Linked DNA regions of Arabidopsis thaliana. The protein of the gene in region 2 interacts with the protein of the main gene of each other region in a pairwise test. Each region holds a gene or a part of one and is shown on either strand. Other genes may lie near its edges.

Evidence for each region. Proteins that work in one complex are often made in the same cells at the same time.
Region 1: the proteins of AT2G37000 (region 2) and TCP24 interact in a two-hybrid assay, tested with the Arabidopsis thaliana proteins (one large-scale study listed by BioGRID).

Annotation. Positions count from the first base shown.
Region 1 is NC_003070.9:10,626,435-10,633,029, reverse strand, and holds TCP24 (TEOSINTE BRANCHED 1, cycloidea, and PCF family 24), read left to right. Parts: upstream 1-2,399; 5' UTR 2,400-2,458; intron 2,459-2,463; exon of another isoform or gene 2,464-2,649; 5' UTR 2,650-2,820; intron 2,821-3,219; 5' UTR 3,220-3,301; coding exon 3,302-4,276; 3' UTR 4,277-4,315; intron 4,316-5,598; 3' UTR 5,599-5,845; downstream 5,846-6,595. Other genes in the region: INT2 (inositol transporter 2), read left to right, coding at 1-73. UniProt on the Arabidopsis thaliana protein: Plays a pivotal role in the control of morphogenesis of shoot organs by negatively regulating the expression of boundary-specific genes such as CUC genes, probably through the induction of miRNA (e.g. miR164).
Region 2 is NC_003071.7:15,538,476-15,542,419, forward strand, and holds AT2G37000 (TCP family transcription factor), read left to right. Parts: upstream 1-1,770; 5' UTR 1,771-1,914; coding exon 1,915-2,481; 3' UTR 2,482-2,773; downstream 2,774-3,944. Other genes in the region: SIGF (RNApolymerase sigma-subunit F), read right to left, coding at 1-213, 294-549, 644-829, 922-1,019, 1,126-1,280, 1,454-1,541; NAP12 (non-intrinsic ABC protein 12), read left to right, coding at 3,245-3,474, 3,554-3,630, 3,708-3,944.

The sequences.
Region 1 (6,595 bases), on a different chromosome or scaffold from region 2:
ACGAAGATCGATGGAGTTTAAGTTTTGGAAGAAAAAATCAAAACTTGTTGAGAAACAAAACCAGAGTGCATGAGAGAAACTCTTAAAGGAAGCATAATCAATGAGAAAGCACATGAGACTTGTAACTTGGTATTGAAACTTAATAGTGACAAAGTGATCTATTTTAAGAACCAGTAAAAAAGTGTTGTTATGAATCTACTTATTGGAGCAAGATCCTAGGAACTAGATCTTACCATATACAATTGAAATTTCACCAAAATCATTTTGATAAGACCATTTACTTATGAATAATATGAACACAGAAAAACACTTTTATAAGAAACACATAATCTGGTCTAATTATTGTCAATGGTTAAGGACCCTTCGTTTCGTAGTACTTGACTCTTTAGCTGTTGAGCATGAAACTGACAAGTACAAGTGTAAGTGCATATAACAAGTATTGTTCTTGAAAACTTGAGTGATTCCAATTGGTTTTTTTCCTATTTTTGCATTAGAAATTATCTAATAATAAAACCATATAAAATACCATTTGTGTTATATTCTTAGTTCGGAAACACAAAGCAATTATGTTTAATATATTATACATTCGAACCACATAAGAGAATTAGAGATACATTGGACACTGGAGTAAAATATATATTTTTGGCAAAATAAAAGTGAAAAATTCGATGTGAACCAAAATATTCTGAATGTGCATCAATAAATGCCTTTGGACAGTGACACGTGCGTCGCAGTCTCGAGCCAGTCTCGAGCCCGACGTTAAAAACCAATTCTTCATGGAAGCACACAAATATTTATTTACACAATTCTGAAATATTACTTAAAGACATGTGATGTGATACAGTATAATATATGAACGCAACATATCCCTAAAAATGGAATGTATTTGGTTAGCCCAAAGTGGGTTTGTATCGACATATCGTGTGAGATGAGTTAAACTTTTTTGATATACTATAACATGAGTCGGAGAAAAAAAAGTACGTAAGATGATTCATATTTTGGAATAATATATGGGTTGAAACATTATGTGATGACTGACGTACGAGTGACGACATACTAGTATGCTATTTGCAAATATTTGCTTTATTTTCACTCACTGCATCTGGATGGAACTCAATTTACAAAACCCATGTAAATTTGTATATAATTTTCTTTGACATGTACTATTTTAATATTTTTGTTACTATTTTTATCTTTCTACAACTAATACATAACATTAGATCTATAAATTTGTTAAACTTTGCTTTATACAGTATACAAAAACGAATTTTGACATTGTTTCCCTATCAAGAAAATAGTCTTAATTAGAAAGTCGTTATTGGTCGGAAGTGTAAAGAAGTTCCCAAGTTGACAATAATTTGCTTACTGAGCTACCGAGGTTAGGGATAATCGTCCAGGTCTTATTGTGAAACATTATTTAGTTTTCAAAAATTATTTAATAATTACTCTTACTAGAATCATGTTCTTACTTTACATACCAAGTATTGATAGTTCACTTAGTTTCAAAGATTTCCTTGGAAGGAAGGTTGAGTATTTTTCCCCAAATTTGAGTCTTTACGTGGAAGAAATTAAATTGTTTAGGCTTTGAAAATACAATCAAAAAGTGGTTCTAAAGCTCAAAGCTTGTTTGTTACAAAAGAAAAAATTAATATTCTTAATTACTTTACTTTTATTTGAGAGTCATATGTTTGGCCTATCTTACATTAAATCCAAATAGGTCATTACCCATGATGGCAACATGTTTTAATTCATGATGTTTCTTTTTTCCTATTTCGGTTAAGTTTTGTACTAAAACCTCAACCATATCTAAGCAAACAAAAATATCATGGTTGGCGTAGGCCGAGTAAAAGCGTGCATCTTTTGCCACGGTTAACTCATAGTGTACTGACTAAATCGGACTCCCGCATATGCCCAACAAAGAAGTTATACAATTTGTGTCATGACCAATATTCATTGTATGATTAAGGTTACTGAATTTGGCCAAGAACCCCATATATTTTATCGCATGCAAGAAGTGAAGCTTCTGCCTTTGAAGCCCATGTGTCCACTTTGTCACCTCGAGAGTGTCTTTTCTTCACCATAGCATGAAACATTATGTAAGTTAGATGTTTCTTGAAAATGTAAATTAAAACAATATAGGCTATATTTGCATCAAGGATGTATGCTTATTCCTAGTTATATTGTCTTATCAGATGTAGTGTCATGAACCTTATTTATATGATTAAAACATACATTATACTTCAGTATAATTCGATTAATAGAGGGCAAATTGATCGAAAAAGAAAATAAAAGGGCAAATATTGATATTCTAATAGTTTAGTGGCAGAATTGAAAAAGGAGAAAGAAAGAAGGGTAAAAGAGAGAGAAAAGAACAGAACAAGGAAAGTACAAAATAGTCCAAACAGTGCACTTGTCTTCCCTTGTCCGAAGGCAACTGTTTGATATTTTTCTCTAACAGGTAATAAAACTCATATCTCTAGCCTCTCTCCCCATTTCCCATTTTCTGCTAATTTTCTTTCACTTTCTCGGCTGATTTTCCTGGGAAAATACTCTTTATCTAAACGTCCTAAAACACTACTCAAAAACGAATGTTTTTTTTATGTTATAACTTATATTTGTGTGACTATTTTGATATAACTATTATTGCAGATCTGTGGATCTTAACACTTCTCTAATGCTTATAATGACGAGATCTAAGCATGAGAAGGAAGAGATAAGAAGCTCATGACAAGAATCTGAAGAAAATTAAATTTGTTTTTCACTTATCGCCGCCATTGTTGTTCTACACTGAGCTTAGACAGTTGACACCTGTAATCCAAAGTGAGTTTTCTCTTAGCTTGTTGGTGATTTTTGAGGCAAACCCTTTATTTATATTTTAAAATCTCTGCTTTATTTAATGTATCAAGATTCTTATTTTGCAAACTGCCATGTAATTTAGGGCAAAGCTTCTAGCAAGAACAAAATCATTAGTCTTGTTCATCTTCTTCACTTAAAAATCTCTCCTTTAATTTCTGGGTATTTATTATTTTCACCAAAGCTCATAATCTTTAATAAATTCCTATAGGTTTCATAGGTTTTATATAATTAATTTAGGGTTTCTGAAAAAGGCTCTTAAGCTATAGGTCTATGAACATGAATAGATTTGGCAGATCTACAAATTTTTATTATTTTTAGCCTTTGAGCAGTGACTTTAATTTCTTCTTACTTTAATTTTTGCAGATTCAAAAGTTTATCACTGCAACATACTCAGGCTTTTTACTTAATTATCATAGCTCTGATAAAGTATGAGAGTAGCGTTACAATGGAGGTTGACGAAGACATTGAGTTACAAAAACATCAAGAACAACAAAGCAGAAAGCTACAAAGATTCTCAGAGGACAACACTGGACTAATGAGGAATTGGAACAATCCATCGTCTCGTATCATTAGGGTTTCACGAGCTTCTGGTGGCAAAGATAGACATAGCAAAGTGTTAACATCAAAAGGTTTAAGAGATCGAAGAATACGTCTCTCAGTTGCTACAGCAATCCAGTTCTATGATCTTCAAGATCGTCTTGGATTTGATCAGCCAAGTAAAGCTGTTGAATGGTTAATCAATGCAGCTTCTGATTCAATCACTGATCTTCCTTTGCTTAACACAAATTTTGATCATCTTGATCAGAATCAGAATCAGACCAAATCTGCTTGTAGTAGTGGAACATCTGAGAGTTCGCTGTTGTCGTTATCAAGAACAGAGATTCGTGGGAAAGCAAGAGAGAGAGCTAGAGAAAGAACAGCTAAAGACAGAGATAAAGATTTGCAGAATGCTCATAGCTCATTCACTCAGCTTCTCACTGGTGGTTTTGACCAACAACCGAGTAACCGGAATTGGACCGGTGGTTCTGATTGCTTTAACCCGGTTCAGCTGCAAATACCAAACTCTTCCTCTCAAGAGCCAATGAATCACCCATTCTCCTTTGTACCTGATTACAACTTTGGAATCTCTTCTTCTTCTTCTGCCATTAATGGTGGTTACAGTAGTAGGGGGACCCTTCAGTCCAATTCACAATCTCTCTTTCTGAATAACAACAACAACATTACTCAAAGGTCATCGATTTCTTCGTCTTCTTCTTCCTCTTCTCCAATGGATAGTCAAAGCATTTCCTTTTTCATGGCTACACCTCCACCTCTTGACCACCATAACCACCAGCTTCCGGAGACTTTTGATGGTCGGCTATATCTTTATTACGGCGAAGGAAACCGGAGCTCTGATGACAAGGCAAAGGAAAGGAGATAGTAAAAACAAAATGCTTCCTTTCATCTCTCGCCAATCTTGGTTAGTCTTTTTCTATCTTTTTAGTATCTCAATTCTTCAGTTTTTAGAAAAATGGTTTATGGATTAGTTAAATGTAGTGATAGTACCATGTTGTTTGATTTGTTATAAATTTTGGTTTCTTGATTTCACAAAAGAAAGATGGTTTATTGGGGCGTGGCAGTGAGTCATATTTTGTTGGTTTCATAATTTCATTACATTTTTGTGTGTCTCGAAGTAATAATGACTTTAGGATTATATAATCAATGACATGTGGATGAATTTGAAAAGAGGGCTTCATCGTCTGTTTTTGTCTCCTCATGTGTTCTATGTTGGGTTTCCTTCTTCCTCAGCATCACCTTGTTCCAATTTGTGATCATTTACTTATTTTCTCTAAGGGTAGGTCATTTCATTAAATTTGTGTCCCATTTTGATGTATTTATTCATTCACATGATACAGTAATTCACCTAAACCTTTTGACTCCATTGAATTAGTTATATATATATATTAGTATTGCAAGTTCTTGGTTTAGGAAATCTTTATAGCAATTTATTTTAATATGGAAAATGTAATGAGGTGATGAACTGTTTTGGATAAGAAAGAAGTTAGTTAATATTTAATAATTGGCATCAAAGAATCAACATTTGACAAAAGACTTTGCTATGAAGAAAGTTTTGTCCTTAATAGATAAATATTTTATTTAAGAGAAAAAGATGGGAAGTTGAGTGTTTTTTGCCTGGCAAAATTGTTTTAAAACATTGTCCTCCTGAAGTGGCACCACATGCTATGTGTCGGACTCTAATTATCCCATCTCTTCATTGTTGTCATGAGCTCTTTCCCTTTAATTCGGAGCACTCACATTTTTAGATCTCTTTCACATCACATTTTGAGTGATTCATATGTTTTCTTTTACCTGAAATCTGAATTGATGTTGTTTTGATACATAAACTAAGTGGAGCTTGGTTGATTGATTCATTTCTTAAATTTCTTACTTTTTGGTTTGATACTATGGGCACTAAACTACAGGAACTTCTTTAATAACAATAATATAGACTTTGGTATCAACATAGCACTGATTTGTAAAGGTTGGATTTGTTTCTAGTAATGAGGAATTGTAAGGCTAAATGAGTTTTTATAGTTCATAATGTATTATTGTGTGAAGGAAGATGATTAAACTCCAGTGGTTGTTATACATTACTTCCACACTTCGATTTCTTGATAATGGGTTTGAACAACTTGGTCGTGGCTCATACTTTCATCAAGATATATGGTTGATATATGAAAATGTTTCTTGGAATATATGCAGGAGTGGAAGTGTAATTTGTGGGAAGACGATGTTTGTGCAGCCCTGAGCATGTATATGAATCCTCCATTGCAATCATAAGCCAGGTTGATTGTATGTTCAGACCGCGAGGAATTGTTTTTGTTTGATGAGAAACATGTGTTATGTAATGAATCATATATATGTCTCTATATGTGTTCATGTTCATTGTCATAAACTTTGTCCGAAACTCGGACCAATGTTTTCAGGTCATCCTCATTCTGTTGGCTGCATGTTATGTAGCATTTTTAAGCTTCTATGTTACAATTGGGGCAGTATGAGTAATACAAGAGCATATATCAAATTAGAGAGGGGATAAAAAGGAAGATCAATGTCTAAAGTAGTTAGCTTCAAGAACAGAGTATCCAAGTATCAAGAACAGAACATCAAAGTGTCGAAATAAAGCTTATACATATTATTACAGACTCTTTTGTAACATAATCCCTTACGTGTTACGACGATTCACATCCTTCATATGTGCCTCTTTTTAACACAGATCACACACATGTTCTTCCTCACTCGCAGACTTCTTTTACAAGAGTGTATGTACAATGGCGTTCTTCTTCGGTTTCAGAGAACCTCCCTTCGGCATCCTCCATGCCTGCAGATTCATTCGACGCAGGCCTCATGACTGGCGAAGCAGTATGTCTCAAAAAAAGTCGAGAGATTTGCGGTTTTTGGCTTCAGGACATTTGTGAACTCTCTGTTCTCTTTCCTTCATTCTCCAACATATGTGGATTTGTTTGCTCCCACCATCTGCAAAATGTCTATGATTAACACTGTCAACACCTTCCCCATAATCTAAACCAGATATAAGACTCTAATATGTACGAAAAGCAACTCAAATTTTATTCATTTTGGTCACAAATCAACCGCATCAGTGATACATGATCTCAGCTCAAAAACATCATCACCCAAGCTAATACAATTCGAAGAACATGAGGACAGACAAGGCAAACACACTATACTATGACTCCTCAAA
Region 2 (3,944 bases):
GTTGAGTCCACGATTCTGATATTGTTTAGCTATATGGACTACCAGACGTAGGTTTGCTGTAATCAACTTTTCCCGGCTGCTTCTCCCACGGTGGATATCAGATTTTAAGACAGGGGAACTTATCCCCATAGCTTCAGCCCACTCGCCTATTGTTGGTTCGCAGCCGTTTTGAGATTCAAGTTTAGTCTTTACCTTCTCCAACTTTAATAAATGCTGATAGATCAAAGATTATGGAAGTTAGCACCAGGGACAAGAAGGAAGTCCAAGGACACATGAATAAGGAAAGCATGAACCTGTATATGTGATATCAGCTCAGCTTCTTCTTTAGCAGTCAGAAGTTGTTTTGTCTCAGGTCCCCACAAGAAGAGCTGAAGCGCATCATCATTATCAGCCCCTTGTTTATACTTTTTCTTCGCACTAGTTTTCTGAGGAACATAACCCTCATCGTCCACATCGTTTGATTTTGGAGCCCGTCTGTTCTTTGCTCGTCTCTCTAGCTGCCGCTTCGATCTTACTATGTTTCCCTTTTCCGGTAAGGACATAGAAGAGCTAAAACCAAACATCCAGAAATACAAATCTTTTCACATTACAGCCCACAAGTAGCAGATTGATAAGATACACAAACAAGGTTAAAAAAAGCAACCTAGTGGAGAGAGAATCCTTGATGTTGTCAGATGGATTTGCTTCAGTGTCATCAACTAACAATGCAGCTTGTTTTGAAGCTGATAAAGCCTTCTGAGCTAGTGCAACCACATCACAAAGCTCTGCATCAGCTAAAGGAGACACAACTGCCGGCAATTTCGTTTCAGATGTTAAAGGAGATATTAATCTGCAAACAAAAGAAAGGCTACATCATTCAGAAAACTCAAAAGGTTGTATGAAAACTGAAACTGGTGGGTTTAAGAGAGGAAGAGACATTACAAATTCCATAAACCAGTAGAGTGAAGAAGTTGCTGTTCAAATTTCTCATCTTCTCGAGATGAAACCAATTCATCAAACTGCCTCCTCTCCAGAGTCAACTAAAAATGCAAGGAACCCAATCGCATTAAACAAGAGGACTAGAAAGTTGACAACTTTATGATTGATTCAATCTCTTAGGACAATATTGCTGCTAATAAAACACACCTGGGATGTTCTATCGTCTCTTAACGCATGTGACAGAGGCCTAGACTCTTCCCGTGGCTCCTGTGAGAGAACCGACGCAGGAAAATGTCGAGATAGAGAATTGAGATGACGTGAGTTAACAACAGGAGTTGTTGTTTGATCATGAAGCATCACTACTACAGAAATACCAACAAACGAACAAAAACAAATCAGAAAATGCTAACACAAACTCGTATACATACACTAATTTCAAATTGAAATCCATGAACTTCAAATTCCAGTAACTAACAGAGACAAATCCAGCAAAGACACAATATTTCTATATGAAGAGTAGCTGAATAAGAAGTACCAGAGGAAGGAGAAGAGTAGCTGCTCTTGAGATGAGTCTTTGTCTGAAACGAAGGAGATGAAGAAACCAAGTTCCTCGTAGCTTCCATTTCACAGAATCACCAAAGAATAAAAGACTCTGTTTTTGCTTCCACGAATGGCTAAGGAAGAAGAAGAATAAGAACATGAGGCTACTCTACAGAGCCATGACGAACAGATAAGGCGACACACACACTCCCAATTTTTTTTTTGTAAAAATTAAAACTTGTTTGTTGCCATGGAAGTCAGATTTTGTTCTCTCTCCCTTTTTTTTTTTCCTACAGAGTGGATCATGTTGGGCCTTATATTGGGCTTAAAAGCCCAAATTATCCAAAAGTTAATTCGAATCATCTTCTTCTCCCTCCTTTAGTAACCCTAAGATTCTCTCTGTGAATCCTTGTTCATCGTCACTGAAATTAGTTTACAAAATCGACGAATTCGGAGATGATTTTTCAGAATGTGTGCAGAAATGAGTCCAACTTCAACGCTATAGCTTCCGAATCGCGTTCCCAAACGCAGTTCGGTGTTTCGAAATCCTCCTCGAGCGGCGGCGGATGTATCTCCGCCAGGACTAAAGACCGTCACACGAAGGTTAACGGACGAAGCCGTCGAGTTACGATGCCGGCTCTCGCCGCCGCTAGGATTTTCCAGTTAACGCGTGAGCTCGGTCACAAAACTGAAGGAGAAACCATCGAATGGCTTCTTAGTCAAGCTGAACCGTCGATTATTGCCGCCACTGGCTACGGGACTAAGCTCATTTCGAATTGGGTTGATGTTGCGGCGGACGATTCCTCGTCGTCGTCGTCGATGACGTCGCCGCAAACGCAAACGCAAACGCCACAATCGCCGAGTTGTAGGTTGGATCTTTGTCAGCCAATCGGAATTCAGTATCCGGTGAATGGTTACAGTCATATGCCGTTCACAGCGATGCTTTTAGAGCCGATGACCACGACGGCGGAATCTGAGGTTGAGATCGCGGAGGAGGAGGAACGTAGACGCCGTCACCATTAGTAAAATTAGGCTTTTGATTTAGAGTGTTAAAATTAGGATTTTAAAAGTTTAGGAGGTAACAGATAAGGATAATTTAGTCAAATCATGTTGTTTAGTTTGGTAATGTTATTTTGCCACTAAACAACTAATAATATTGTTTGATAATCTTATTATTTGGTTTTGGAAACAAATTGATTAAAAAATAATGCCATATGTTTATAATGTTTATATTGTTTTTCTCACTATTGATTTGTGATTTTTTAGTAATGCTTGAAATCATTAAGCAACACTATTTAAATAAACAAAAATTTCTCATGAAATCCAAAGAATCATCATTTGTCATGCTCCTCCAATATAGTTATTTCTATTTTTGGAAATAAGTTATAATTAAGAAACCAATCATTTTTCTCACCCATTTTTTTTTTCATTTGCTAGAAATCTGGACCTCCTTCCATGATGACCCTTCTCAACTCTCTTCTTTCACGCAAGTCTCTCATTTTTCAACTTTCCAACTTTTGATCTCAACGTCAACATTTCAAGATTTTCTAAAAGAGAACAAAAAAAATCTACAACAAGCTCGTTAGCTTTCTTTTAATCCTTCATCTCCATTTTTCAAGAATATACTCATTGGTTTTCTCAAGACATGATAGAAAAACACAAGACATCTCTACGGATATTTCTATTGGTAGCTTCCAATGTATCTATTCTATTGTTAGGTCAGAGGGTTCAGATATTTCGATTCGGAAGGTTCTGATTTTAAGGCAAGACTTTTGATATAAGAACAATGAGAGTTAGGGTTGATGTTTGTTGGACACAACACATCTTCTTGTTCTTTGTTTTTGGCTTGAGTTTTATGTCATTTGCACTATCTCTGGATGGAGATGATTACAGCAAAACAGGGAACCCAAAAGCTCTTGTTTCGGTTACAAACCTTATCTATACTCGACTTCAGAATCTAAAGACTGTTTTAAAGGCTGACGTTGATCGAGATTTAGGTTATTGCATCAAGAATTTGTAAGTCTTTTCAAAATCAGCTAATGTAGTCCCATGTTTGAATTTTACATTTTTCTCATATCGTTTGTTGATAATTCAGGAAGGGCGATTGGAATGAAGCATTTAATTTTGATAAAAATCTGGACTTCTTAAGCAATTGTGTCAAGAAAAATGATGGTAAACAACATAAAAAGGGTTATGTTTTTATATTCAAATACTTGAACATTGAGATTTAATGGTCTTGTGATATGCAGGTGACCTCACACTTAGACTATGTTCAGCTGCGGAGATAAAGTTCTACTTTAGTAGTTTTGTTAGAAGAGATGAAGCAACAACGGTTCATGTAAAGCCTAACATCAACTGCAATTTAGCTAAATGGGTTTCCGGATGTGAGCCTGGATGGAGTTGCAATGCAGATGATGAAAAAAGATTTGATCTCAACAATGGAAAAATTCTTCCATCTAGAACTCGTAAATGTCAACCTTGTTGTG